Linked DNA regions of Neodiprion lecontei. The protein of the gene in region 3 purifies or fractionates together with the protein of the main gene of each other region. This does not show direct contact. Links are inferred from orthologs where the notes say so. Each region holds a gene or a part of one and is shown on either strand. Other genes may lie near its edges. The genes, in order: cell division cycle protein 27 homolog, anaphase-promoting complex subunit 7, anaphase-promoting complex subunit 15 and anaphase-promoting complex subunit 2.

What was found.
Region 1: the proteins of anaphase-promoting complex subunit 15 (region 3) and cell division cycle protein 27 homolog purify together in Homo sapiens (affinity purification with mass spectrometry; 3 studies listed by BioGRID and IntAct, with this or other methods). This does not show direct contact. The link is inferred for Neodiprion lecontei from reciprocal best matches to the Homo sapiens genes ANAPC15 and CDC27.
Region 2: the proteins of anaphase-promoting complex subunit 15 (region 3) and anaphase-promoting complex subunit 7 purify together in Homo sapiens (affinity purification with mass spectrometry; 3 studies listed by BioGRID and IntAct, with this or other methods). This does not show direct contact. The link is inferred for Neodiprion lecontei from reciprocal best matches to the Homo sapiens genes ANAPC15 and ANAPC7.
Region 4: the proteins of anaphase-promoting complex subunit 15 (region 3) and anaphase-promoting complex subunit 2 purify together in Homo sapiens (affinity purification with mass spectrometry; 4 studies listed by BioGRID and IntAct, with this or other methods). This does not show direct contact. The link is inferred for Neodiprion lecontei from reciprocal best matches to the Homo sapiens genes ANAPC15 and ANAPC2.

What each region holds. Positions count from the first base shown.
Region 1 is NC_060266.1:21,418,765-21,427,667, forward strand, and holds cell division cycle protein 27 homolog, read left to right. Parts: upstream 1-2,398; 5' UTR 2,399-2,512; coding exon of another isoform or gene 2,513-2,534; coding exon 2,535-2,558; intron 2,559-2,870; coding exon 2,871-2,946; intron 2,947-3,224; coding exon 3,225-3,372; intron 3,373-3,568; coding exon 3,569-3,946; intron 3,947-4,034; coding exon 4,035-4,344; intron 4,345-4,435; coding exon 4,436-4,624; intron 4,625-4,744; coding exon 4,745-4,988; intron 4,989-5,092; coding exon 5,093-5,273; intron 5,274-5,408; coding exon 5,409-5,634; intron 5,635-5,793; coding exon 5,794-5,921; intron 5,922-6,098; coding exon 6,099-6,420; intron 6,421-6,522; coding exon 6,523-6,667; intron 6,668-6,754; coding exon 6,755-6,873; 3' UTR 6,874-7,053; downstream 7,054-8,903. Other genes in the region: type 1 phosphatidylinositol 4,5-bisphosphate 4-phosphatase, read right to left, coding at 542-682, 826-1,035, 1,527-1,711, 1,856-1,940. UniProt on the Homo sapiens protein: Component of the anaphase promoting complex/cyclosome (APC/C), a cell cycle-regulated E3 ubiquitin ligase that controls progression through mitosis and the G1 phase of the cell cycle.
Region 2 is NC_060262.1:35,032,523-35,039,499, forward strand, and holds anaphase-promoting complex subunit 7, read left to right. Parts: upstream 1-2,368; 5' UTR 2,369-2,442; coding exon 2,443-2,511; intron 2,512-2,640; coding exon 2,641-2,967; intron 2,968-3,043; coding exon 3,044-3,453; intron 3,454-3,534; coding exon 3,535-3,949; intron 3,950-4,039; coding exon 4,040-4,314; intron 4,315-4,401; coding exon 4,402-4,624; 3' UTR 4,625-5,166; downstream 5,167-6,977. Other genes in the region: coiled-coil domain-containing protein 174, read right to left, coding at 5,500-6,977. UniProt on the Homo sapiens protein: Component of the anaphase promoting complex/cyclosome (APC/C), a cell cycle-regulated E3 ubiquitin ligase that controls progression through mitosis and the G1 phase of the cell cycle.
Region 3 is NC_060263.1:15,453,462-15,458,940, forward strand, and holds anaphase-promoting complex subunit 15, read left to right. Parts: upstream 1-2,548; 5' UTR 2,549-2,834; coding exon 2,835-2,960; intron 2,961-3,046; coding exon 3,047-3,106; intron 3,107-3,228; coding exon 3,229-3,459; 3' UTR 3,460-3,550; downstream 3,551-5,479. UniProt on the Homo sapiens protein: Component of the anaphase promoting complex/cyclosome (APC/C), a cell cycle-regulated E3 ubiquitin ligase that controls progression through mitosis and the G1 phase of the cell cycle.
Region 4 is NC_060261.1:6,128,387-6,136,257, reverse strand, and holds anaphase-promoting complex subunit 2, read left to right. Parts: upstream 1-2,236; 5' UTR 2,237-2,257; coding exon 2,258-2,359; intron 2,360-2,674; coding exon 2,675-3,113; intron 3,114-3,334; exon of another isoform or gene 3,335-3,377; intron 3,378-3,507; coding exon 3,508-3,746; intron 3,747-3,840; coding exon 3,841-4,021; intron 4,022-4,108; coding exon 4,109-4,334; intron 4,335-4,424; coding exon 4,425-4,609; intron 4,610-4,694; coding exon 4,695-5,240; intron 5,241-5,316; coding exon 5,317-5,756; 3' UTR 5,757-5,923; downstream 5,924-7,871. Other genes in the region: uncharacterized protein LOC107222515, read right to left, coding at 1-219, 666-804, 885-1,114, 2,064-2,079; uncharacterized protein LOC107222521, read left to right, coding at 6,454-6,510, 6,722-6,848, 6,933-7,079, 7,193-7,317, 7,411-7,649, 7,833-7,871. UniProt on the Homo sapiens protein: Together with the RING-H2 protein ANAPC11, constitutes the catalytic component of the anaphase promoting complex/cyclosome (APC/C), a cell cycle-regulated E3 ubiquitin ligase that controls progression through mitosis and the G1 phase of the cell cycle.

The DNA.
Region 1 (8,903 bases), on a different chromosome or scaffold from region 3:
ATAAAATTGCTCGAGTTAAAGCGTCTCCCAATTATTAACAGGTGAATTATTATGTGTGGTGTAAGAAGTTGGTAGAATTATAGTTGAGAATTATGTAGTTGTGTAAGCCTTGTTATTGAATATCAATCGAACATTGTATAGGCAGTCTTGGTTCTTCATTATGTACTTGGAATTTTCCAATATCTTCAAATTGTGTGTACGTTTTATGTACACCAGAAACGGAATATTATATAATTAAATATCATTAAACTGTAAACAGTAATTTGCATTAGGTCGTTAAGATTAGATAGGATATACAATAAGTGATGTAAAAAGAAGAAGAGTATGGCGGTTTATCGATGCGATTACACACTTGGGAACAATGAGTCACAGTTGCAGTATTTAATGAACAACTCCACTGAGAATGAAAACTTGGTATCAAGTGGAACAGGGTAAGTAAAATTCTGTGATAGAATTAACGTTTAAAGTTAATTATTTTACGGAACATTATTTCACCTATATCTACGTATCTACAGATACGTGTATGACTGTGTGTACTTACTGTAACAGCAATTCCCACGACTAGAGCCACACATCCGATTAAAATAAATGCGATTCCACGACCTCGTGCAAACTCTGGTCCTACGGATGATACTTTGCGACAATGCGGGCATCGAGCAAGAGCGTTATTTAAAGTGTTAAACTGTAATACACAACAATTTTTAATTAGCCGATAATAATTTATGTTAAGCACTAAATACATTCAGACTCAAAAACTCGATTATATTTAGTTTCAACGAGTTACACTGGATGCATTTGTGTCTTATGATGCATCCAGTGACCTACCAGAAACGTGTCATGGCAATGTCCGCATCCAACTCTACACATTCCAGGCATAGAGAGAACGGGCGGAGTTACTGGCGAAGGCGCTAAATTTATTATGCGCTTGCAATTTGGTCTTGGACAAGCAATTCGCTGTGAAGAACTCTTGCATATAAGTAAGCAGTTGCAAGGACAACGGACGTACTTCTTTCCTGGTGGAGCATTTCTTATCGGCTGAAAGGAACGTCATCAATCGTGACTATCATATTAGTATCGTATCCTAAAGTAAAGGATCGAATACTGGTAATACTCAAGATTTTAGATACTTGAAATAAGTTCAAACAAATTGTTGAAAATAATTGTACATTCGCCGAGTTGAATTGAATCGTTCCTTGTTAGAATTAGATTTTGCAAGCTTGCAAAAAAGACTGATGTCTTATCGTTTAGAATTTGAAATGACTGTAAGAATATACAAAATATTTTTTAATACCATTTGATATTTCTATGGACATAAGTGACTGTTTACTCTGTAAGGATTTGAAGTCCTTAATCTCACAATATGAAATAGTTTTTCTCGATATGCAACATTCTATGTGGTGAGGCATTATTAATTTAATATGGAAACGAAGTCTTTTACGTTCGTCGAAAGGTGCTAAATAATATTAGTAAACCGATGTTGATAAAAAAAAATAGTGGAAATAGTAATAAAATGTGGTAAAACTGACTGTAGCTTCGTTACACTGGCAGCATTTAACAACATGTTGATCCCGCTTGCCGGATATGTCTATCATAGCTTGGCAAACTCTGCATGTGACCATAGGGATTCCACCCTGCTGAGTGGACTGGTAGGGTGGCGGTAACTCGTCTGGACCGATCGGACATACTGTATTGACTGTGGATTCAGCGGCAGCTATCAGATACAGAGATTGAAAAGAAGAGTGAAGGTAGAAAACTAGTAATTTATAGTTCGATATTACAGACTTTGTTCTTCTGAGTTGAGAGGTTCAACTTGACTAAATAATGCGACTGCTATGTGTAACGCATTAATACGAACCTGTTATATCCGTCGAAACACTGGTGTAGGATATATTGTCATTTTTTAACAAGGGCTGGCGTTCGCCCTGTTTTCCATCGCCCATTATGGAAAGTTTTTATTATCTATTCTTCGAGAATCACCAAGCTCGATCCACTGACAGAACTCCGATGACAAATATTACCTCTTCCCCTATTGACAACTGGGACTTGATACGACACGTAGAGTGGCAACCGGCTTGCTCATTAATCAGCTGGCATCTATCTTCACATCGCTGTATTTTTGACCGGCTAATTTAGGTTCAAGTACGGCTTTATCGTTCGGCCATTTCGTTGATATTGAACAGAAATCAATCCAAGTGTGAATGATGTTTAAAAAGATTCATGGTTTTTGCACGAAATTATAGCGTATTTCGAGGTATTCAAAATTACCCGGTATAGGCGCGGTATCTTCCTTCTTAGAGATATAGAGATTTTTATCGGCTACTAGTGACTTTTGGACTGTTTGAAGCATTGGATCGGGTGACAGGCACTGCGATATAGAGGCAACTTCAGATGAGTCCAAGAAAGCTGGCAAAAGCAAATATGGAGTCTTGAGAAATTTTTATACGAATTTGCCGAGGAAGTGCACAATTTTCAGATTTCAAATTGAAACGAATCAATTGAAATTCATATTTATATGCGTGGTAAAGGTGTAAACGATGATTGTACAGGAACCAGTGCAGGTAAAATTATCATTTAATTAATATACGGTGTCCAACGTGTTTCAACGATTATTTCTTTGGTTGTAATTTTGACATCCCAGTGGCACGCACGACTTTATTACTTCTTAGATTTATTTTTTCAAAATGAAGCGTCAACGTTTGCAGATATCGTGACTGCAGGATAACGCAGCGACACTTTGTTCTCGTCAAAGTAATAATCTTATAGAAATTAGTTAGTTTGCCTTGAGATCTGCATGTCTTACTCCTTCCGTTTATCAATCAACAAAACATACGAGAATATCAATTGTTTACACGATTTATAACGCTTTTTAGGCTGCCATATGGCACTGTTTAAATCACTATGCTTATCGAGATGCAATATTCTTGGCGGAAAGACTGTGGGCCGAACGTAAGTAATACATAACCATCCAAATATATTCACCGTTTGAAATCGTTAACTTTTCAATGTCACCTAAATAGTCTTTGCCAAAGTCATAAAGCCTTGTGCTAATTAATTTTTACCTCATACAAAAAGAAATCTATTTTATCTATTTAATGTATACAGTGGTTCAGAAACTATTATATCTATATATTCAAAATTTTCAGTCAATACAGTTTCAATGAAATGAATTGCTTCCCTAAGTAGTTACTACTTTATAAAATACTGACGCTAGCCTTCCATTCTAGTCGACACAGAAGATGCATTATTTTTATTGGCAACGTGTTATTACCGTTCAGGACGTGTTAGACAGGCTCACGCTCTGCTCACCAAAAAGGCGCCGAGTTCTTCACAGTGCAGATTTCTCTTAGCAAAGTGCTGCTATGACCTGGAGAAGTTAGTAATCTTAAACCCCGTTTTACTTAGTTTGTAGCAAATTATTATCCACTGTTGTGTATTGAATTGTCCAGAAACTTTGTACCGTGAAATCATGGGACCTTGATCTTCAAACCTTTAGATCCACAGCTGGAAATTGCATGATTCTGTACTTGGAGAATGTATAAGATCAATCTTTGTTTTTTCTATCATGTAGATATGCGGAGGCCGAAGCAGCGATAATCGGTGGATACTATAAGCAGTTGAAGAATTTAGATGAGATAGTGACACAGTTTGGAGACCAGGCTTGCTTCTCGTTACAGATAATAGCCAAGATTTATTATAGAATGATGCGAACAGCGAAGGGAAGTGAGGCGCATAAATTAGCATTAAAGTTGAACCCATTCTTGTGGCACTCTTTTGAGGAACTCTGTAACGTTGGGGAAAAGGTTGATCCTGCCAAGACTTTCCAACTTGACAAACTAGACAGTTTTGCCACTTGCCACGGTACTACCCCGATACTTAATTATGCCAATGAACCAGATCTCATTACTCCGGTTGCAAATAACCCAGTCACACCAATTCCTAATAACATGTGAGTTGAACTTTCGTGTGATGTAATGATTTTTTACACATCTGCACCTGAGATTCTGACTAACGTAAAGTTTCTTACTCTTTGGCAGCACTCCTGCCCAGAATAATGTCGGGAATGGTATTAATTCTGGTGTAAAGTTGTTCGCTACGTCTGATGAAAGTCCAGCAGGTTTTCCATCCCAAATACTAAATTGTTCTGCGGCATCGCCTAGGGGAAAAATGCCTCGCTATCGTAGCATGTTTAGTAACTCCATGAGCCCTTTGACACCGAGCTTTGGAATTCTCCCATTGGAAACTAATACACCGGAACAAATTGGACCGCCTCATGCAACGCTCTCCGAAGCAAACGATCAGAAAAGTTTGGCCAAGCGAGTCAGCAGTTTAAAAGCGCATGTCGGAGTGAGTGAAGTTTGGCAAATAAGTGGTTCAGTTTTTTTGTTTTTTTTCCTCATGTATCGATCTAAAGGTAATTATTTATTAAATTCTGCAGCAACTAATGTCTCGGAAAGAAACGCCTTTGCAGCAAGGTAAACCAGTGTTTTCTCAATCTGGAAACACGAGTAATACAGCAAACATTGTTACGGTCACACCAACGGCTCCAGTCCCGACTCCACAAGCTCTTCAGGGACCCAACGTTAGGCGATCTTCCAGACTTTTTAGTAACAGTTATTCTGTCAAGGTATTTCTGATGAATTGATTGAACGCATTAGATTCGGTTTTAGAATCTCAAATAATTCTCTGAAAATCTGTGATCCTCAATTTGTACTTTGATTAATTCTTTTTTTCAAATTTTTTATAGGAGAATAATAAATCGCCAAATAGGAATAAATTCGCCCCACCAAAATCACCCTCTCGGAAACCCAAAGCAAGACTATCAAAGACTAATTTAAATAAGGCAAACTTCAACGAACTGAATGAGAGAAATAGAAATGAAAAGGAAAAAAGTGAAACGATCACTTCGGACAGAGTGATATCGTCCACTAACACACTAAACCAAAATAACATGATGCACTGCGCTTTACTCGTTCAAAAACAGTGCGCCGGTGAGTCAAGTACCCAATTACATGTTTGGCAAACTTTCTTATAAAATATTGTTTCTCGTAATTAAATTTCACGTCATCAATCAGTTCAAACGTTTATTTTTTAGAGGGACTTATGACACTGTTGAGGGTCCTGGGCACAGCGTATCAACATTTGAGTCAATTCAATTGTTCACAAGCTATTGAACTATTCAGTGTTTTACCTGCGCAGCATTATAATACAGGCTGGGTCCTCTCGATGCTTGCAAAAGCGCACTTCGAGATGATAGATTACAAAAAAGCTGCGAGGTACAGCAAATTTCTTGTTACGTTGAACAAAATTTCGAAAAAAAAAAAACTGTCATTCAATAAACAGAACCGAATTTGCTTCCTCATCAAATGTAAAAAATAGCTAATGTAACTTTTGATGCTTTTCTGCTGTAGTTATTTCGCACAAGTTAGACAACTGGAGCCGCAGAGAACAGAGATGATGGAAATTTATAGTACTGTACTATGGCATCTTCATGCCGAAGTTCAGTTGTCCACCCTGGCACAGGAGCTCGTCTCGGAAGACCGATATTCTCCAACAGCTTGGTGTGCTACTGGAAACCTATTTTCGGCCCAAACAGAACATGAAACAGCGATTAAGTTCTTTCAAAGAGCCATACAGGTATTGCGTCCAATCTTCCAGTCTTTCGCTGTCTCCGAGGAGAAGCAGAAAAAAGAACGGTCCTTTGCTATTCGATTCCGTTTTTTTTTTTATTTTTAGCACTCTTTACATAGAATAGTTTAGACAATAGCTTAACACATATTTTATTTTCGATTATAGGTAGATCCCAACTTCCCATACGCGTACACACTTCTGGGTCACGAATATGTTATGACAGAAGAATTAGACAAAGCAATCACAGCATTTAGAAATGCTATTCGACTTGACCCGAGGCATTATAACGCGTGGTAAGTTCCTCGTTAATCCTTAGCGATACGATACCGTTTTTGTTGAAATTTCTCCCACTGGAATTTTTCTCACCTCTATATTTATATTCTCACAATGGAATTATAAACGTTGGTTGTTTTGTAGAACAACTTATTATTGAATACACAGTTAATTGGATTTGAAATTTTTATCATCAGGTTTGGACTTGGAACGATATTCTCTAAACAGGAGCAGTACAGTTTAGCCGAACTACATTTTAAACGGGCGTTGCAGATTAATCCACAAAATTCGGCAATCATGTGTCACATAGGGGTTGTACAACATGCTTTGAAAAAGACTGATCTTGCATTGAAAACATTGAATCAGGCGATCCAAAACGACCCTGACAACACGCTTTGCAAATTTCATCGAGCAAGCATTAATTTCTCTACAGGTCGACCTGCTGAAGCATTAAAAGAGTTTGAAGAACTGAAGAATATTGTACCCAAAGAATCTCTAGTCTACTATTCGATAGGAAAGGTAAAATATATTCACTAGTACTCATTTTTAATTTCTAAAAATATTGGGCTGATTTTCACTTGCTTTTTTTTACATTCGAAAAATCTTATTTCCTTGCAACAGGTGCATAAACAGTTAGGAAATACGCACCTCGCGCTTATGTACTTTAGTTGGGCCACAGATTTAGATCCCAAAGGTGTCAACAGTCAAATAAAAGAGGCCATACTGAGTCCTGGCCAAGGTGACGATGACCCTACTACACAATTAGGTGAGATGAATCAGAATAATTCCCAAAATTGGTTGAAGGCTGCACTTGCTGGATGTCATATAAAATTCCGGGTTCATCTATTTTCAGCTGAAAGACAGGCACAAAACAGTTCGACGGAACAAGAGGGAGAGGCAAGCGGGGAAGTTGATCAATCAGCAAATGTTACGATTGACCCTCAGATCGACGATAGTGATAACAGCTTATGAGTGTCTTGATCTGGCGTACCGCTACCGTTACTGCTGGCCAAAATACCTGTATACTTTGTTATAAACAGCCCTCACCTAATAATGTAATAGCTAGTGCGCAAGTGCCCATTTGGAATAGACAGCTATAGAAAACGAGGAAAAACTTAATCTGAAATAATGGAATGAAATATTAGTTTATAACTTACGTGACTTATTATTTTTCCTTGACAATATTTACCATTCTCATTTTTCTACGCATCGCGCGCGATAACTAAGATTGTTGAAGATACAAGAAGATTCCGTACAGTAATTCTTACACAATTTTTAGCACATGGATTTTCTATTTACTACTATCCAACAATGCTATTCGTCACATTTGTAATACCGCGGCTGATAAAGTCCGTATTATTCTTCAAGAAAATTGTACATAACAACTACTTTTGCTGAAATTCAAAAAATAACATTTCAACTATTGTACATGAGATGCTTTCACTTTTATATTCTCAGTTTCTATGATCAAGCAAAAATATACAACAAATATAATCATGATTTCCGCAGTAAACCACGGCCGAAGTGCCCTAGGTGTATTTCTGCCTGATGATTATTTTTTCTCATTAATTCGCTTCTCTCCGCAATTGAAAATATGATTAGGCTTCTATCATGTATCTATGTACATTATTGTCGAATAGATTATAAGTATATTGTGTGATTCCAGTGTAAGACGTCGTATGAATTTATCAATTATTATTATTATCAGCTGAAGATACGTTCGGTTAACAGTGTAATCAAGGGATAAAAAAGTTACGTCACTATACTTTTTTCCCATGTAAAAATATTATCGAAAGCTGCTCCTTACTTCTCGCTTCGTCACGCCAGTAAATATAACGTTTTGGGTTTGGACCTGTTTCTATGCGTATGAGCACATAATAACTCCCGAGTGATTCAATCAGTGTCCAGGAAATATTAGAGAGTGCAATATAATACCGATAAACACCTGTTTTTAATGTTTTCGTTAGTTATCGGGTAAGATGAAAGCGACTTTTACCACCACCAGTTGCCGCAGGCTGTTCCAAATCTCTATCGCTAGAATACTGATAATAACTATATTTATAACATTTTATAAGTAATGTAATAATGTGTACTAAGCGTCAACTTCTATGTAGTCTATATTATTCAATTCAAAAGATGAAAATGCCGATCAGTATGCATACATATATCGATATGCGCGTAGTAAGCTCCAATACTCTATTCTGTGAAGAATAATATAATAATAATAAAAATAATTATGATTGGCAGCTACATACCTAAGCCGCTTAAAAATTAGATGGATATAAAAATAATGAACGATATTTATATATGTAGAAAGTAATTAAACGCAGCAGAAACTGTCGGTAGTTGTCGTACAATACGTATTCCCTTGAGTCGAATCGAGAATACATCATTATTATTATATTAAATAAAATTAATTAGATTTTAATGGTAATAATCATTAAATTCGAGAAGTTGGCACGTTTAGTGCTGTACACTGAGCCACGATGCGGTGCATCGTGACTTGTAAATGAGTCGAGTAAACGTGCATGTTGCGTGATAAATTGACATATATCTCGTACCGTTTGTTATAAAGTATGTAACTTGTGCAAGATAATTATATATTAATAGTATAAATATTAAAATACCCATTAACCACGACATGAACTTGTACATAATTTTATGTCGTGAAGTATCCTACCGAATCGGGGGCTTATGTACTGTACTTTCAGTAGATTAATACGAAAATTAAGCCATGTTCAATCTATGATTCTATACCTTAAAGCAGGTCGTGCGAAGGTAGATGGATGAGTTGTGAGTCTACTATGTGTATAAGCCCTTGCGTGACATGAGCATTGTGTAAATTTGAATTTGAACATGTCAGTTTTACCGTTCATTATTTTGACATTCATTATTTCACAATTGCATTTAAAATACTGATACACAATAGAGTCTCTAAGTTTAATCGGGAATTTGAACTATTCAGCGAGCGAGAAACTTTATGAAAGTAGAACAAAACATGT
Region 2 (6,977 bases), on a different chromosome or scaffold from region 3:
ATATTATTTATTGTGTTTTACTGCGTTTATTTTTGTTGTTTGCCGGCGTCCGGCTATGACATGCGCTAGAAAAGTACAGTGTATGTGTTAGCTATGGTTATTTCAAATATATTCACATATAAATAAATAGGATACCGCGGAGATATGATGATTTACGGAATGGAAATTATTATCATTGTATCGTACGTAAGTTTCTGTATATTAGTCGGTTTAGCTTGTTTATGGCATACAACCAGGACGGAAGCGAATTTTTACGTTATCTTGTTATTATACATTTTTTTTTCTAATCAACTATACATCGTTGTTGCTGTGAAACGGTTTTGTGGTAAATTTACAGTCTATTTAATAATATGTTTTCCGGAAGCTAGATCTCCACCACATCCGTATTACATACGCATGTTGCAATATTTAGACGGTGTATGAGAGATGTGAGACAAGAAAAGATGTCAATCTTGCACCGACAACGCCCAAAAGTCTACCTTGCTTCTTAAGAAAGCTAATTTACGTCAGACACACTCATACTATGTTCCAGTTAATCTTGGCACCTTTTCAAATGAACGTGAAAAAATGTTATTCAACCCGCATATGTGAGCATTCGACCGCTTAAAAGGCCCAATTGTTATGTTACAGTGTTCTTTGCAATACGTGAAAAGTAGAAATTTTTCGTTTTCTTATCACTCGAAACGTGTCCTTCATCTATTAATTCAATATCGGAATAATTTCGAAAGATATTCAGAGGTCAGAGCTTTTCCCGTGAAAGTATTCGTGGTATTCGTATATTATATTATTATTATGGCAAGGTGATCAGCTTGATCTACATCGGCGTGATTCTGATATAATCCTTTATTTACAAATGACATTCGCAACGATACTGGAAATTCGGTTTACTTGCCATGGAATAATATATTCTATTGAATATTTTATTGGCCGAATAACAAAAGAAAAAAAAAACAAATACATACACTTATATCCATTAGTCGTTCGATATAATTATATCACGATTTATGTATGCACATATTCCAACTTACTTTCCCTATGGTTTTCGTTTACTTGAGACACGAAGTGACGCATGCGGTGTTGATAATTTTCAATTTATAAGATTATAGCGGATTTTAGTAAGAGAATAACACTTCGTATTTATTCGAGACTCGAACATAATCCGGAGGAGCTTTATGTAAAAAGTAATTAAGCCCACCTGTTACACCGCTCGTTGCCTGCGGTAGACTGAAACTATGCCAAATCTCGGCTTCCTTGAAAGTGAAAGGATAACGCACTACGTGTCCTTGATTGTGCTGTGAAATTCATGGCATCCACTCTGCACACCAATCACCGTACTATTTTTTATCGCCATCTAGGTATGGGAAAGACATCTCATTATGACCCAATAAGCCATATATCGCGACATACAAATATCATGCACATAGGATTGCGATAAGATTGGAGTCTTTTTTTTTTTTCTATCACAATTTTCATTATGGTTTGAAAAATGCCGCGTGCGGATTACCGATACACGATTCAATTACTATTATTTACAAGTGGTAAGATATTTTATTTGATTCCATTCGTCCGTTGCAGTAAAATTGTAAATTGTTTGGTACGCTATACTTTGTAATGTACGTATTTTTTAAAAATTACCCGAGGTGCAACGACTCATCGTACATGAAAATTAACGCTTATCTAATCAGTAATGATATACGGATATATGAATGATATGCTGCGGGGATCTATGTTCACATTGTTCACCTATGTCTGTCTGATTGTGAGAACACCTGATTCAGTCTGTATCAGCGATGTCATCTGCTATAGATACATATGTATATAATATCTGATTTCGGCAGTTGCGCAAAATATGTATAACATTCCCGTATATTCAGCGTACGCAATAAACCATATTATTAAAATAATACTACCGGATGTGAAAACTTGAGTTATAGTTTAAGTACAGTATGTGACCCGTCGCAGAGTAATTTCTTATGGATCGAGCAGGAATGTAGGGCAATGTTACTCGTGAAGGTCACGATATAAAAGTTTTATCGATCATTACAGAGCGTACAATAAACTTGTAAATAATCTATAGCCCAACGAGTTTAGCCGCACAGTATTTAGGTTTTATGTAAAAAGATGTGACATATTTTATATACTAACTGCTGGATGTGCTTTTATTGTTTTTGTCAACAGCCAACGTCATAAGTTTGTAAGAAGTTTTGATGAACGATATTAACGGCGTTTATTGCATTTCCAACATTAAAATGCTAGAATCAAGCTAGAATTAGATTTGTCGAAGAAACCAGCCATTCAAATCTCGCGCTAGTCAACAGATGTCGCCAATGTTTGACGGGTGCTTTAGGCGTGCATAAGTATATGAATTTGTAAATGTGGGTGGGTGAATAAGAGGACACAAGCCGTCCGCTGTCAAAGTAGTATTTATATAGATCTGTAAAAATGTCGAGTTTATACGAGCAGATAAAAATGTTGTACGATCAAGAGCTGTATTCAAATGTGATCGCTCTAGTGAGTACGAGCTGTGACTTAATGTTGATTTGTTGAAACTAACCTATAATGCAGAAAATTGATGGCGAGAAAGAATTTGCCAGTGTAAGAGAAATGCATGAGGATAACGTTCAGCTCTTCTATTTCTAGGCAAATTTCATTTTATCGCTAAGCGATCACAACAGCGAGCTTCTTCCACCGCAGGCAAAATTCTTAACGTATGTCCATTGTGCTGATTCGTACTTTCATCTTTCCAAGTACCGGAAGGCTGAATCGCTGTACAAGAAGTCCTTGCAGTTTCGTAAATGCCTTTTGAAATCTAAAGGTGCTACTAAACCGCCGCCTGATGGACAGAAAGAACTCATGTCGGACATAGACATTAAATATCAAATACATTTGTGCTTGGTCAAGCTCAAAAATACCCAAGAAGCCTTACAAGTTCTTCAGGGAATACCTGGCAAGCAAAGATCCGCAAAAGTAAGAACTTCTTCATCCTTGAAAGTAGAAAACTTTTTTGCCATCTATTATTTATGTTCGGAAAATAAATTTTTAGGTGAATATGGCTCTGGCAAAAATGTTCCAAGAACAAGGAATGGAAAGATCAGCAATTACGACATACAAGGAAGTTTTACGAGAATGTCCATTGGCTCTTAACGCAGTGGAAGGACTCCTTGCTCTGGGTGTAAAAGGGATCGAAGTAAATTCCATGATTGTTAACTCTATAACCAATTCACCAAGTCTGGAGTGGTTGAACATCTGGATCAAAGGACACGCACATATTCACAATCGTGAATACAGTCATGCAATCACAGCATTCAGGTCACTCGATAATGCCAATTACTTTAGAGACAATGTTACCTTGTTAATAACAATGGGTGAATGTTACTATTTTGCTGGTGACGATAAAAATGCCTTGACGTGTTTGCGACGGGCCAGAACTATAGAACCTGATTTGACGAAAGGGTTTGTAAAAATTCGTTTCTGGATTCAAATGATATGTGTTCAATGATAAGCCTGATCTGTTTTATTTTGTTACTTTTTTAGCCTTGACATATATGCCGCTGTGTTGTACAAGACGCAAAACACCAAGGAGCTTGAGAAATTAATCCCAGCTATAACACAGACTTCCGAATACACAGCTGAACAGTATATAGCTATGGCTTATGCTTTGTACGCTGCGCGAAAATTCAGTAGAGCAAGTACCCTGATTGTACAAGCGATAAACCTGAGCCCCTATAGTATCGAAGCAATTATATTATGGGGAAATATTCTTATCGACCAAAAAAAATATCAAGAGGCATTGCACCATTTTAGGAAAGCTGCTCTACTCAAACCACATAGATACGAACCACACAAAGGACTCGTTGATTGTTATGTTGGAATGCATAGACTTAGGGAAGCATTGAATATCGCCAGTACAGGTTGTAAATTACTGGGACACACGCCTCGGGCTCTGACGGTACGCCATTAGTAAAATACTAAACTGTATGTTTAAACAACAGTTTTTGAGATTTGACACGATGACTTATGTAAAAATATTATGTTGCAGCTTTATTCGTCGGTTTTGATGAAGGACCCTGTATCAGTTGGCAAAGCGAAAAACTTGTTGGAAAAAGCATTGAGTCAAGAAGAGTCATTTTTGCCGGCTGTTTATTTGTTGGCTGAAATATACGAACAGGAGATGAACTTAGAAGCTGCTATTGAATTACTTGAGAGACAAGTAGAAATATTACCTACCTCTAAATTTCATCAGATGCTTGGCGATTTGTGGGCTAGAATTCACAATCAAGAAAAAGCATTGGATCATTACGCCATCGCCTTGAAGTAGGGATGCAGTTTTAGTTTCACAGTGTGCTGATATTTTTATCTGTACTGTTACTAACCAATTCATTTTATCCCATTTGTTTACAGTTTAGATCCATGTAATCGACGGGCTCTGGAAGGGCTGCATCGGTTAGACAGTACTTCAACGAAACTGGAATCGACTTATTATATGACTGTAGGTGACGAACATGCAGATACAACTTATGATGTTGGAGATGGTTTGCCAGATACAGACAATGACGAGGGAGCTGACGAAAGTGAAACAGAAGCAGTTTGGTCTGACATGGATCTGGAAGCGAATAGTCAATAGGGTAACTTACAACCAGAGTGATTGAAAGTAGTTTGTAACTGAAAATAATGAGCATTTCTCATTTTTGCGGCAATGATTTTCCTCTGATATTATATAACAATGAAATTATGAGTTCTTTATCAGAGAAATTGTCATCCCGCATCACAGTACTCCTCGGAAATTTTTGTTCCATACTTCTGCAAAGACTGTTGAATTTCAACTGTGACTGACGATATTCTTTAAATCATAATAATGCGTGCATTTTTTGTAAATGTACGAAACTGTTTATGGAGTAGACAAAATGACGAGTTCCTTTCTCCTATATGTAGTACAATTGACAAATGAGTACTTCGATCATGCAAGAAAGAATTACGCAATTCTGGGAAGCACCATGTTTCTCTATGTTTATGTTCTAATGAGAACGCATCAATCATGTTTATAGAAAGAGAAATTCTTACTTTATTAGCTAATTTTTCGATGTTGTTTTCTTAGTACAGAATAAGCAAAAAATTTATTCAGTTTTGTGTGTACCACAAATAAGAATAAATTAAAAAATATGAGTACGTAGTTTGGTTACCATATAGAATTTCTGTCTCCCATTGAAAACATTTTAATAACCAAAGTCTACTCGTAAAGAACTAGTAATGTAGGTAATTGAGTAAGAAGTACAAAAAATAGAATCGTTAATTATGTATTTCCCACACAGTATGCCTAATGAAACTTTCATAACAAAATTATTTCAGATCTTTCGTATAAATAAGTAACAATTTTACAAGTAAATAATAATTAATGAAGAAAGTGTGCATCGAAAAAATATTTACAACTATGTCATTCGACATAAAACATGTCTATTATCTAAAATTAGTTGACTTGATATTCTTAAATATTTTAGTCGATCAGCTGTGCTTTTGCTTTTCAAAATTTGCTCGTAAATATTTAAGCCCAGCAGTAATCTTGTCTTCGTTTAAGATATGCTGTGGTTCTTGACTATCAATATTATCCGACATGCTGGTGTCAGCTGATCGTTTACTTGAATCCACGCCAGTTATTGAGCTCAACAATGTAGAATCCGGTAGATGATATTCCATAGGTAAACAATCGCGATTCGGGGGTGGGACTGAAGTTGGTACCAGTTCTGGACCAGTATTAAAAATATCTGAAGTAAGGCCAAATTGCATATTTGGAGGTGGTTTCGAAAAATCAATGCCTGATAATTCTGTTCTCATATTTTCTGGCAGGGTAGCGAATGTTTGTTGAAAATTCACATGCTGTGTGGGTAATTCGGTATATAGTGGCATCGGTCCGATTACATCTGAACCACTACTATCCGATGATTCTGTGTCAGCATTGCTAATCACTTGCTTAGGCATGGTAATCTGTGATAACTCTGTAGAAGTCTCAGAATGCGGAATATGACTTTGTTGATTATCCGTGCCATCGAGTTGATCGGCCGTTTTCTTTGTGCCACATTCTTCGATAATAGCAGGACTTTCGGAGGTTTCCTCATTTTTACCAGATAAGCTATCATCGAGCGATGCTGAGCTTTCATCCTTGTCCTGATCGGTATTCTTGGATTCTAAATACCCGGAACTTCTAAAATTATTGTATAAGGGGGCAAATTCTTCATCTCTATCTTTTCTCCGCTTGTAGACCCATTCTTCTTGCGACATCTCATACCACTGTGTTCTTTTACCAAGCAGTTCGCCAAAAGCTTTTATCTTGTTCTCAATTTCGATAAGTGAATTTTCTTTCCTATATTCAATTATTTTCCTCTCATCAGATTCGACTTTCTCTTCAGTTTCTGCTTTAACTTCCATCTTGTCTGTATTCACCTCATCATTTTTCACGAGTTCCTCGTCCGTGGGCTCAGGGGGCAGTCCAGCCCTTATTCTCTGTCGTATTCTAGCCGCCTTTAGCCTGTTCTGTTCCATTTTGTCTTTCATTTCCTTTAGATTTTGCATTTCCTTTTGTTTTTGTATGGTTTCCTTTCTCAATGCATCCAAGTTTGCTTGCTGCTTCGCTCGCATTTCTTCATCCTGGGAAAATTCGTAGTATCCAACGCCGTGGGCTCTCGCTTCGTCAAAGAGAATGTCTTGATAATGAATATTCATTTTCTCAGTCAACTTTTCCGTTTGCTCCTCCCATTTTCTTCGCATTATTTCAATCTCTGGCTCTTTCGGAGGTGTGACAACATCTGGAGGCCTGACATCCTCAACTTCGGTATCTCCTTGGGACTTTTTCATGACTTCGTGCTTTACAAAGTCATCTTTTTTCTGCATTGTCGACAAATCTCTACGGAGGCATTTCCTTGTCCGTCCAAAGCAGTCTTCGTATTCAACCCAGTCTTCTTCCGGGTCAGAGTTTGCATCTTCAT
Region 3 (5,479 bases):
CGCAAATCAATCATGGCGGCAACAACTCGCGTATTTTCGTCCCGGGACTGGCATGAAGGCCGAGGAGATTCATACCTTGGTCGATGAATGCCTCCGTTGATTGCATGAAGCCGGAGCCGTAGTTCACCTCGTGACATGTGATCAGGGTCCCTCGGACCAAAAATTGTTCAATTCTTGTTTAAAAGTGTCAGAGGAGAGTCCGCGCTGTATGAGCGGTGAACGAAACTACTTTGCTTCATTCGACTTTCCTCATTTGATAAAACGTCTTTTGAGCACGTTGCGAACACACCAAATACTGTACTGGAGGGGTCAGATTATCGCTTTCTACAAAGATTTTGTAAAAACTTGGAGATACGATAACTGCAGTACTACCTCGAATCTACTTTCTCACATCTCCGAGGCGCACTTGTTTCCATCGTCCTTCCAGGCGATGAACGTTGAGCGTGCTTTTCAAATTTTGAGCCGCCGACTTGCAGCGGCAATAACAATTGCAGGCAAGGATCCGCACGGGCTCAACACGGAAACGTGACAGGCTAGCGCAGCTTTTGCTGAGCGTATGAATAAAGTCATCGATTCGTGCAATGCCTACGAGCTTTTGAGCCGAAATCTGGATAAGCGCCCGCTTGCCGACAAGAAACCTGAGATCGAGGAAACGCTTACAGAGTTCGTGAAGTTGTCTTCGGAATGGACAATTGCTGACCCAAGGAGAAAGGGGACGGCTGAAAATACTTCGCGAGCTATTCTGCTAACGTATCCGACGATAAAAGAGAAGTATCCCCGATTCGAGTTGGCAGCCGGACTATGCAACCAAGATTCCGTCGAACACCTCTTCTCGAAATTTCGCCAGCGAGGTGGTCACAACCCAAATCCCACGGCTCGGACGGTTCGCTTGTCTCTGAGACACATCCTTTCTACCGGATACATCGGCAGCGGCAGCAGAGGAAATGTACAATGTCCTGACGCCGTTGCTTTAATAGAACCCTGCACGATGGTAGCTCGGGCTTTCGATACGCCAGAGAGTATGCCTGCGGATCCCACCGAACACGAATTCGACGAGGATACGGCAGAAGTAGAAAATGACCACGCGTATATTGAACAAGTGTAGTATATTTTTATCGTTGCGGATTGATGTGATAATCCCCTCAAATTGTATAGATTAAAAAATTAATATAAATGATAAATTAGTTTATTGTCATTAGTTGTTGCATGAAAAAAAATATGGTTATTAGTAAAACTTTGACTAGTTTACTTGTTAATTTGGCAACGTCAAGTTGTCAGCTGTCAAGTGCATAACCTCATCTCGAGACCGGAAGTCTCTATTTCTAACAACTACAACAGAAGTCTAACATTTTTATAACATTCATAACAAGAATAATGTTCATCGGATACGTAGGTGATTTCACTTTTTTCCCAGCATTTACGACCTCTTCAATTGTTTTTCGAAAGTCACGGTCCATTTGCTGCCATGAAAAAGTCTAATTTTGAATAATTATTTTCTTGTTTAAATGTTCGGGAACCCGCCTGATCTTTTTGTACAGCCGTTTTTGAATATTTTCCGAAAAATCAGATTTTTCTACAGGTTTTGAAATACTGTGCATGATCTCATTAAACAATGATTGGATTCAAGATTTTCGGTGGGGAAACGGCTGAATGGAGGTAATATTAATAAACAGCTGAAAGAGAGTTTTTATACAATCGATCCGGTCTCCAATTTTTTGTTAGGTAGATTTTTTCTTCTCCGGGTTACCAAATAAAGAAACGAAAAAAAAAATAGAAAAATGGACAAAATCTACACACTCTCAGAATTGTTTTTTTTCATTCCTTTTTTCTCTTCTCGGTTATCAAAAATACAAAAAGAAAGCCGGGATTGGATTAAAAAAAAAAAAATTAAGAAAAATAAAATAAAATAAAAAAATGAAAAGTGAACTGCGATCAAACCCGTGTCCCGCATCACTCCATCCTCATGTGGTATCCACTCAGCCACGCTACAGCTACTTCCATGATCGCGCGTTAGCTCGGAATATTTACGGAGCTTGCTTGGAATTCGCTGATGATTTTCTGGAAGATTCAGTTCGAGAGAAAAAAAATTTCCCCCAACCACCTGCGTATTGCACATTTTGCATAAATGCTATCGAGCTGACTTCGTAATATTTTTACATAGACTGCGTGTACAAATATTCGAGACCACCAGGCGTCACATATTTTCATATCAATAAAAAAATAAAATTTATTAAAAAAAAAAAAAAAAGTTTCCGGGCTGGGAATGGTTAATTATTTTGGTTCAGCGTCTGCTAATTGAATCCAAAATTTATCAAATCTGGAGATACTTTTATTCGCTGACATTCATAATTGAATCAAGAAAAATCCCAATTCTTGCATTCCTGGAAACATCTGTGTGAGCGGGGACAAGGATGCGATTGGCAACCACTTGCTCGATCGACCGAGTATATCATATATATACGATTGTCGGCCACCTTCGGTGCGTGGCCGCCTAGGTGTCACGTCGACGTTCCAACCTAGCTGGTATCACGAAAAGCCGAGCGTTGGAGATCTCCCTACTCATCTCTGCCGTGACCGACTTCGACGAGCGGTTCGCGGCCTCGTTCATTCCGTAAAATCGAGTGTTTTCGAACGCCTGCGTATGTCGATTCGACTGCTTAATCTGGTCTCCGAATAGTTCGTGGAGCGTCGTGAAGATAGTTGACAGCTCGGCAATAGGAAACGTCAAAAAATTCACATGCAGTTTTTTGAGGTTATAATATCAAACGTAATCAGTAACTGTCGCGTTGTGGAGATCGACTGGCCTGTTCACGGTTCCTTCAAGTTTTCGAAATATGTCATTCATGCCACTCTGGCCTGATTTACAACCCCGAGCTATTGATCCTCTGTGGTTCGACGCAGACAAGCCGTGCGACGACGAGAGCGAGGTTATTGCATTAGAAACTGAGCATCAATCATGGGTAATTACGTTGTCATGTAATAAAAACTCGTCACATGGCCTAGACCATCTGCAGGACATATTACAAAATGTAGTGTTTACTTTTAGATGGACAGCATACAGGCCGAACGCTGGAATCAAATTCCAATTGGAAAGTCAGCAAGTGATGTATGTAATTAAACGTAACATAATCTGTTTGTAATCACTACGTTTATCGCAAATTTTCATTTGCGGTGTTAGTAGTCAGGAAAGAAGACAATGCTGCAAAACTGAACTGTTTTCTGTTCTAGTTCCGTGGATCCGAAGGCGAAGAAGAAGAGGAAGAAGAAGACGAGGGTGAAGGAGAAGAGGAGGAGGAGTCCGACACCCATGAGGAGGAAGAAGAAGAACTGGACGAGATCGACATGGAAGTCAGCTACTCCCATCAACAGCCGCGAGCCAGTCCTGGGCCCAGTCCTGATACCCAGCAAAACCCGGTTTCCATCAGAATGGTCAACGCGCGCACCCTCCATTACACCTAGAATCTGATTGTGTGACAATAAATTAAGATGTTAAGAAACGTTTAGCTGTACAATTAACCGTAAGAAAGAATAAAATTACATTTGTGTTGCATCTTCTGTGTCATTTAGAGTTTGAATAGTTCCAAAGACTCGTTCAAATTTGTCCTAATTCTATCCCAAAATTCTTACAGGTCTCTACTTTACCGGCACAGTAAGAGTTTCGCTGTTTTCGACAATACCACCCGTATTCCGTACGCATGCACGAGTCTGTAAACTTGCCGCAGAGATCGAACGTATAGATACCGAGCGAACGGCTGCGACGAGTCGGTGGGTAAAAGCGCCGTTTTGACCGCGGAACAGCAGAGCACAACACAACACCACAATGGTGAGTGTTAAAACAGTTATTCGAGCACCTCCGATTACGTAACTGCTGCTCTAACGGACGCAGGTCACGACCCCATTGACCCAGTGCTGGCCAACTAGTAGTACCGAGGAAAATCTCTTTTATCTTTAAGAATACAAGAGAGGCTGGCAAAAAATTACAAAAATTAAACAAGCGAAAGTATGTAAAGATTCGGCTGCTTTTATAGGTATAGTCTGCAATTTATTTTTATTATCTTGATCTGTTTCTCGCACAAACAATCACATTCCCTACGGCTGCATCGAGATGGTGGGAGGAAGGGGAGGCTGGAAACTTCCTCGTGGTAAACTTTCTCCGCGAGTAAAAGATAATCGGGCTTTCATCGTTCCTCGACTTTCGACGGTATGTAATACCTATAGTTGCCCGTAAAACGTTCCGATCGTTGATAAAGAAACGATGTGCATCAATTTCGACGCGTATAATATATGTATACGCGTGTGTAGGCAATGCAAATTCACTTGCGCGTATAACAATTGTCGTTCGTTATCGTATACTTTGGCGCACACCCTGTAGAGAAACGTACGGCTGGGTATGCCGAGTGTACGTAGGTATGGAGAGGAGTTTATATAGAGGTATGCATGTACCTCTGCGAGGTAGTAAGCGAAGTAAAGCTAAAGCCAGGTTGGTGCCCCCGCCAGGGTGAACGAACGCCAAGACACAACCGGCGCGAGTAACCGCCTAACACAGCGAAAAGCCGACGCAACTGCAGCCGACGGACTCCTCAAAGGAACGTGCGGATCTCGCGATCAAGCCGAACTCTCTTCGCGCTCTCTTCGTGAAAATTTTGAAGTTTTTATTTTTCATCCGAAAATCAGCCTCGAAACTGCCGCCAATGCTCCGAAGGGCCGCGAAGCAGCTTCAGCCCGCAGTTGTTACTGTAAATACGAACGAGGGTCGCGAGCTTGCAGGGGAAAATCATCCGCGGAACTTGAGTACTTCTAGGATTACCCAAACCCCGAGCAAGGGATGTTTACGAAATCATATATCCACACGGTCTATGGGCCTCGTTGGCTCGATGTACACAGGCGCAGTAAAGATCTATTAATATCGTAAACGACCTAGGATGCAGTTAAAAGAATATTTGACGTGTACGAATAAATAACGGGAGAAATGGATGAAAAAACACCAGTTCTGAGCGCGAACCCTCTCTCGATGATCTATTCTGTCATATGTCTCGTGCGGTTTATCCCTGCGTTCGTTCATTCAGTACAGTGAGAAAATTCAGGCAACGAAGAATTGAAACTCGGCATTCCGTCGATGACCATCCAATTATCAATTTCAAAATCTAAAACAATTGGTTCAAATATTGCTGGATGGATGCGGCTTGCGGTATGGGTAAAAAACGAAAAGCAGGTTTCTACTTTAGAACAGAAGTGTTATTAGGCGGTGAGATAAAGAAAGGAATCGCATGAATGCGAAGTTATCTTCTAGGCATCATCTTTGCGATCTTCGTGCCTTGGATAAACTTCGGTACTACCGGTTCAATGTGGTCGTCAAAAAAAAAAAACAGATACACGTTTTACGTCAATTCTGCAGTGATACGGAATCTCCCCGTGGACGTTAGTCAAGAAACAAAAAAAAGCGGCAGTTGTTCTCTGCGTGAAGTTTAGTGTGTACACA
Region 4 (7,871 bases), on a different chromosome or scaffold from region 3:
GTCGATCTTTACGATTCGTCTTGGCTGCAATTCCACAAGCATTGCATAGCATCATAATCCTGCCACTAACGGGATCGACATACTTTCTGGGCATTGGTGGCCGCTTCCGATTTCCAGGACTGCATCGTGTCGGATCGACAATATGCGGTGATTCACATTTGTCGCAAGAAAATGGTAGACCAGTTCTCTTGTCGATGTAAACATCGTTGGACGAATTGACTACAAAATCAGAATGTTATGAACGAATTAATTCAATACTGTTACATGCAAGTTGATTAGTTATAAGGGAAAACGGACTGGACAGCTCTTTTATGCTTATTTCCTGCTTCAAAATTTAATGTCTCAATTCTGTAGAATCAAAAGTGCGAAACTAACGGATTCAATTTGACCGTTTATAATGTCAAGGCAAGTCAAGTCAATAAATACAGTTAATACGTTGTTCAAATTGAATATTATCCCAAAAAAGTTTTCTATTTGATTTGGTCAATTTTTCTACAGTTTCCTTTTTCCCAACGATCCCCTCATTTTTTTTGTTGCTTGTTGCTTTTATGAAAGTCAAATATTAGATTAGGTTCAAGAAATTCATGAGAATGGTATAAATTTTTTCTTAGAACACTGTAATAAAACTGCTCCTGACATTGTCCCATTTGATATTTTTCACTTACTTCGCTGTACTCGAATTACTTTGGGCTTCTGCCTCTGTTTCTTACTGCCTGTAGTCAGATCTGAGGGAGAATACGGCCTCGGCTTTCTTCTCGGCCTACCAGTAGATGTTGGAACAGAACTAGTTGCAACGTTGCCAACCTGTGAATATAAATGGATAATAACATGACTTAACAGTTCCGGCGTAACTTCAAAGTTTCTTCAAACAGTCCTATTCTTACCTCTACAAATCCACTTTGCCCAGTCTCAACTACTTCCAAATTGCTGATTCCCCATATCGGACACAAATTAACTGCGGGTAAAATTGCATAGTCGTTCATGTGACTTGCAACATTATCTTGAGCAATTTGATCATTCAACTCAATCAGTTCCTGGCAGTGCAACTGCCTGTTTTCATCACACTTGTAGCTACTTTCGTCGGCGGTTTGAAACATCATTTCCGAGGTATTGCCTGAAGATTCAAGTTACCATGAGTATGTGAATTAAAAGGTACAATTTCTTTTATTCAACAATCCTTAATTCATTATTTTTTTGTAGGCATGCAAATATATTTCATATTACGAGTGTGGTGCTATATACTAATTCATACTCCACTGACTGAAGTTATCCCTGAGACAGTTCTACGAAATTAATCATAAATTAAATTGACAAAACGATTTCTCTTCTAAGGCAAATTGTTTACGTAAGACAGAATTATGGAAATATTCGATGCACACTTTTATCACTATTCTGTAGTTCATGTATTTTTCTGCAAGTGGATTCGAATTCATGAAAAGATCACAATTCAAATTGAACCAACTTACATAGATTATTGCTAACATTCGACAGGTGATAAAACTTCTTGCCTTCTGAATACGTTTTTGGATTACTCCTGAACGGAATAAGAGAATAAATTTTCCTCTAAAAATTTAACGATTTTAAAGTAATGAAATGGCATTTACTACAAAAATGAATTCAAATTTTAACAAAACTTGTTACTGCTATCAGTATCACGATGAAAAAAACAGATATCTACACAGTTGAATGGTAAAGAGACGTTATACCTATATTATTCCTCGGTTCAATCCGTGTTCAAGCGGAATCAGAAAACCTCCGATACTCATACTCGAACAATAGCATTTTTGTTTTTTTGTTTTTTTTTTTTTTTAACGGTACGGAATTCCCCGCTTAGCAGAGTTAAAATACATCGCATAACCTATTACGTCTATCTACAATACAAAATAACCGTAAACATTATTATTGCATCGCGTATTACTGCTTGACGTTGAGTCTTCCCGCATTTATAGGTGCATAATTTAACCTTGTGTCTTAACTAATGATTCTCGGTAGAATTCAGAAGAATCAGGCAGTTTTATCAAAATTTATTATAATAATATGCTTTTCGATTCGAAACAACTTACCGACGAGACACTCCATATTGGAATGTGTGGAAAAACACAACAAATGAACGTGAAAATGTCCGTAAGATAATATATAAGGTCAAACTGAAGTTGTTGAAATAAAAACTTGGTCACACACGAGTGAAGTAGGCAACAGCTGTTTACAAAATGCACGTCGAATTGACATTAGGATCACTAAACACCTGCCAAACTGTATGAACATTGCTGCAGATATGGATATGGCGGCAATAAATGCCGCGTCTGAGCAGGACGTACTCTTAAAAATCGAATATGCTTTTCCGATCCTCAGACAGAAGGTATTTCAATTACTCATCCCTCTATTTTTCGTTGGTGTATCATCACTAGTTATTTAGTCTAATCAAAGAGTCGTCAATCTTTAGGCACGGTTTTCGATTTTGTTAAGGTTATGTTTACGATCTGCGTTATGAATTTTCAAACTCAAACATTTACACTGTTGTCATCTAATATCGTTATCTACGGCTAATTACGAGGATTACAAATATATTATTGGATCGAATTAAGATAGTTTTAAATTTTGTCAAGGTTCTCATTATTTGTTTGAAATCTTCATATCGGAGAGTAATCGTACCTGTCATTCCATTATTATACAGGTACTCAGCGAATGTTCTGACGAACAGTTTACCGATATACTCAAGCAAATAAATGATTTGAAACTGTTGGGAAGAATTGAGGAAATAGTTATACAAAGTATAGAATACTATATTCGTCAACACGTAGCTCCAGACTTCTGGAGTAATTTTAGCAGTACAACAAATGAACAACATGGATTTGAATGCTTCAAAAACGCCGTTGACGGCTTGTATTCCAGCTTAATAGAGTTTCTACCGATGTTAAAACGACTAGAACAACTTGTACAAAGCAAGGAGTCTGATGGATCGTTCTATGGGGAAAACAATATTTTAGGACAGTTTAAACTTATTGTTAAAGCTACGTTATTGAGTCAACTTGCATTGAATCATGAAATAATCATAGAACACTTCTATAGAATTGCATTCAATGTGTTCTGTAATACTGACACCTCACCGCAAGGTGAGTTGTTTGAATTAAGGGAAAAAGAAGTAATTGCTCTTTTCACTATTTCTGCTCTATTAATCGATCACTTGGTATAACAAGTATGAAAATTTCTAATTCAACTGGCTGTAGTAAATCTAATTTTAACAAATTCCGATCATCAGTCAGTGTTAAGTTCCAGATTACACACCAATTAGTATTAATGAGTTACAAGACCAGTCTGCAACTTGTAAACGTACAATGATTCAGTCGATAGTTTCAATCAATATTCAAATTCTTCAAAACGCTTTGCTTCAGCGCTATTTATCAGCTTCCAATCTATTCCACCCCAATTTTTCTACTGAAAAGAGTAAACCTATCTTGTTCCTCATCGCCTTGGATCCACTTAATGACAGAATTATTTTTCGTGCAGATGATTCAATTGGTAGTCACAGCCTCTGCAAAGGTTGCAATCGGGAAATAGATGACTGTCAGTGCCAAGCAATAGTATACATATTTCATGAAACAAATCGGAAGTTAATCGAGCTTGAACTGCTCGAGCGATTAGTTGGAAATGTCTTGACTTCGCTGATAAATATCCGCATTGAGAGTCATGTCAATAAAGCGTGTGAGAGCAGTTTTGATGTATCACAATTAACGTTTTTGGAAAACGTAAGTGTACAAGAGTCTGAAATTTTTGTGAAACATCGACTCGCTCACCGAAACAACACTATTGCCTAGAATAACAATACTTTGTATTCCACAGTGGCTCGAAACAGTTGTTATGAGCTGGCTAACAAGAATATATTCTGGAGGCTCTTCAAAATCCCCTTCTTTGAGCAGTAAAACGCGCGAGACAATTAATAAATTCAAATACAAATTGTCCCATTTCCTTTACGAAACATATACGCGAACGAGAATTGATCAGCTGTTCAACATCATTATAGGTAAGGAAACAATAACCGTGATTAAGTATCTACTTGCACAAATACCGTGATATTTCCAAGCCAGGTAAATATATTTCGAAATTTTAGAATACCCTGAGTCACAGCCGGCAATAGAAGACTTACGAGTTGGTTTGGAACGAACAGATCTACGCAAGACGTTGGTTGAAAGTTTACAAGATGCTCTGAAAACAAGGCTACTACATCCAGGTGTAAATACCCCTGATATTTTAACGGCGTACATAGCAGCCATAAAAGCTTTGAGACAGTTAGATCCAACCGGCGTTCTTTTGGAAACTGTTACGCAACCAGTAAAGTAAGTTAATATTCTATTACCCTCTCAGGTCAGATTAAATACCCACATCTCCAGTATATTACAACAAATTTATCTCTTACTTACAACCAGGCAATACCTGAGGAGTAGAGAAGACACGGTAAGATGCGTGGTTAGTGGTTTGTTGGATGATTCCCCTAGCGACTTAGCTGATGAATTGGTGAAGGGCGAATCGTTGCAGCTGGAAGAAAGTTCAGTCGACGAGGAAGACGAAGACTGGGAAAAGTGGATGCCAGATCCAGTCGATGCAGATCCTTGTAAGCTAGGTTTGCATTTTAATATGAGAAGCTGCATAAGTTTTATATTTTTGTAACCCGATCTTTGTGTGATCCTAATTTTCAGCCAAATCATCCCAACGCCGAGTATCGGATATAATTTCCATGCTGGTTAATGTTTACGGAAGCCAAGACCTGTTCGTTAATGAATATAGAACTTTATTAGCAGATAGACTACTTTCACAGCTAAATTATCATACTGAAAGAGAAATTCGTCATTTGGAATTGCTCAAAAGACGTTTTGGAGAAAATCAATTACACTATTGTGAAGTGATGCTCAAAGACGTTTACGACTCAAAAAGGATAGATGGGAATATACAGTCGGATTCCAGTTACTGTGTCGAAGCACACCTTTTCCCTACCTCTGCGCTCATTCTATCGGCTCAATTTTGGCCGCCTTTCAAGGAAGAGTGGAAATTAGAATTGCCAAAAGCTGTTCAGGATCAGCTAGCTAAGTACATGAAAGCATTTGAAGCTCTTAAAGGGAACAGAACGCTATGCTGGAAGCCTCATTTAGGAAATGTAAACCTGGAAATAGAATTGAAAGACAGGAAATTGAACATGAATGTCACACCTATCCACGCTACAATCATTATACACTTTCAAAATAAAAGTGAGTACTAAAGCACGTTTGTAAATACGGTGAAGATCTTATTACTTATTAACCATGTTAATATTTGTATCTCAAGATGAATGGACGATCGACGAACTGAGTGAAGCAATGCACGTCCCAGCAACTGTACTCCGTCGTAAAATAACGTTCTGGGTATCCCAAGGAGTTTTGAAAGAGATCTCAAGCGATAAGTTTTTACTACAAGAAGAAAGTGCAACTAAAAATCGGTCGACAGCTGAAATTGTTGAAGAAGAGGAAGTAGAAAGTGCAATGGCTTCGGCTAGTGATCAGAGGGAGGAGGAATTACAAGTATTTTGGTCATACATCGTTGGAATGCTGACGAATTTGGATTCTATGCCCTTGGAGCGAATACACCAAATGTTGAAAATGTTTGCCTCACAAGGGCCAGGTGCTGTGGAATGTGGTTTACCAGAATTGAGACATTTCTTGGACAAAAAAGTTAGAGAACATCAGCTGTTATTTTCTGGTGGATTATATAAATTGCCTAAATCGTAATGATTGTCTTTACGATGACCGAAAAATAATTAAAAATATAAAATAATTGTAGGCCTTTTGTAAGCCAAAGAAATCATATTGATTCGACTATGACAATTTTTTTATCATCATCAAAGTGTAATAATTATTGGTTTAGTTTTTGTATAGAAAATATACCTTACAAATAGTAAATTGTAATTTTTTGACAAAGTTTTTTCCTACTTATTTTCGTACAGCTTAAAATTCAAGCTTATTGAATAATTGTAAAAATAATTCTTGATAACTATTTTACAATCATCTTATTTTTTGGAAATTTATTGTTGAAAGTAAGGAGTAAACTGTTATCAAAGTTTAAATGAGCTGTCGTATTACATTAATATTGATTTTTTACTGCAAACTTTCTGATTTATCAAGCTGCAACTCTACACATAAAGAGATGTTCGTAATCGTAGTATGAAATCGTAGTATGAAATTCAGTAGGTAAAGTATGAAACCTCTAAGAGATAAATATCGTATTGAAACACAATAACTGAGTTTTATCAGAAAAATCCAGATACCATGATATCAGCGTCAGTCAGTGTGAGTGGGTGGGTGTCTTGATGTGAGATCATTTATTGAGCATTGATTAGATATTTGCAGTATTCCCGCATATCAAAAGGCGTAAAACGTATTACAATTAACAGGAGGCAAATTCAGCAGATAGAGAGTCGATTGCCAAATGGCGGTCTCGTCACTTGTTCGACCTTTGTGCCTTTGTTTAGGCACATTGGGATTGGTAAGAGTCTAATTATACTGTATTTCATAATATATTCTAAAACAATAAGCGCTATCAAACTTATGAACGAAATTAAACCGCACGAACTTTCAGATGATGTGAAAAAAATGGATTCGTAAACGTGCTTCACATTATTGTACCGATATGTGTTAATCAATTTTTGAACTCTTTTATATTAAACTCTGTGCATGTGTAAAAATTTATGGCTTAGGTACAAGGATTGATACTCTGTATACTCACTCTATTGGGTGTTCTGGTACATCTTTGTGTAATCACAGTGGATTCCGATGAAACTTTCAGCACTTTTGTACCGCTTGTAGTAGGACTATACTTTCAAGGTAATTCTACAATTGCTGATTAAAAATCATTGGTACTTCACTGAAGTATGCAAAGTATAATAACACCAACATTTCTCATTACAGGGGCAGAATGTCAGGTCTACAACACTACGGTACTTTCAGACGATTACTTTTTAAACCTTGTCACACCAGAATGGCTGTTTATTTGGATGGCAGTTTACGTTGGAGTTTCTGGACTCTGGATCATCTTTAGTACACTGATAATGAGCGGTATGTACTGGAATATTAACTTTTTACGAAATTGCGACATACATGCATTGTGTACTCCAGTTACCGAATTATTGTGACCCTAGCTTAGAACATGAGTTTATAATTTTGCGTAGGATGTGTGTACAGAAAAAAAATTCTGCATTACTTCCTCCCATGTTGGATTATACTAACACTTGGAAATTGTACGATGGATCTCGTATTAGCTGTCTACTTCGGATTTGATTTCACCGATCTTATTGTAAGTATTGTTGCATGCTTATTCAAATGACGTCGAATGTTGTGTTAAGGTTCAGGATCCACACTAAATGTACTAATTTAAAATTTTTTATAGTCCAATGCTTCCGAAATCTATGGAACATCGCTGGTGCCTGTTGTTCCTTTTGCCATGATGATTTTAAGCGTGAAAGGTGGCGCTTTATGGGTAATAAATTTTATTGGCAGTATATTCGCTATAGTTGCATTGCACAACTTTGTGAAACACAAAGATGATCGTAAGCCACTGTTTTTGGAAAGAGCTGGATTTCTTGACCAAAATCCAATCGATGGTTTTGCACCAATTGAAGTGCCAAGGTAATTTCCAATTTTTTATCCTTATGATTCCTGACATATATAATATTTAATCTATCAATTGGATATGACCAATGGAAAAGACTATCCAAAACTATTAATGGACATTTAAGTGAACAGCCTACATGACTATGGTTGATATGCTTTCTTTTGTAAAACGATCGAATTGTGCTTTCGTTTATTTAGGCCAACGTCGCTTTTGCTCAACACAAACTCAAAGAAAAC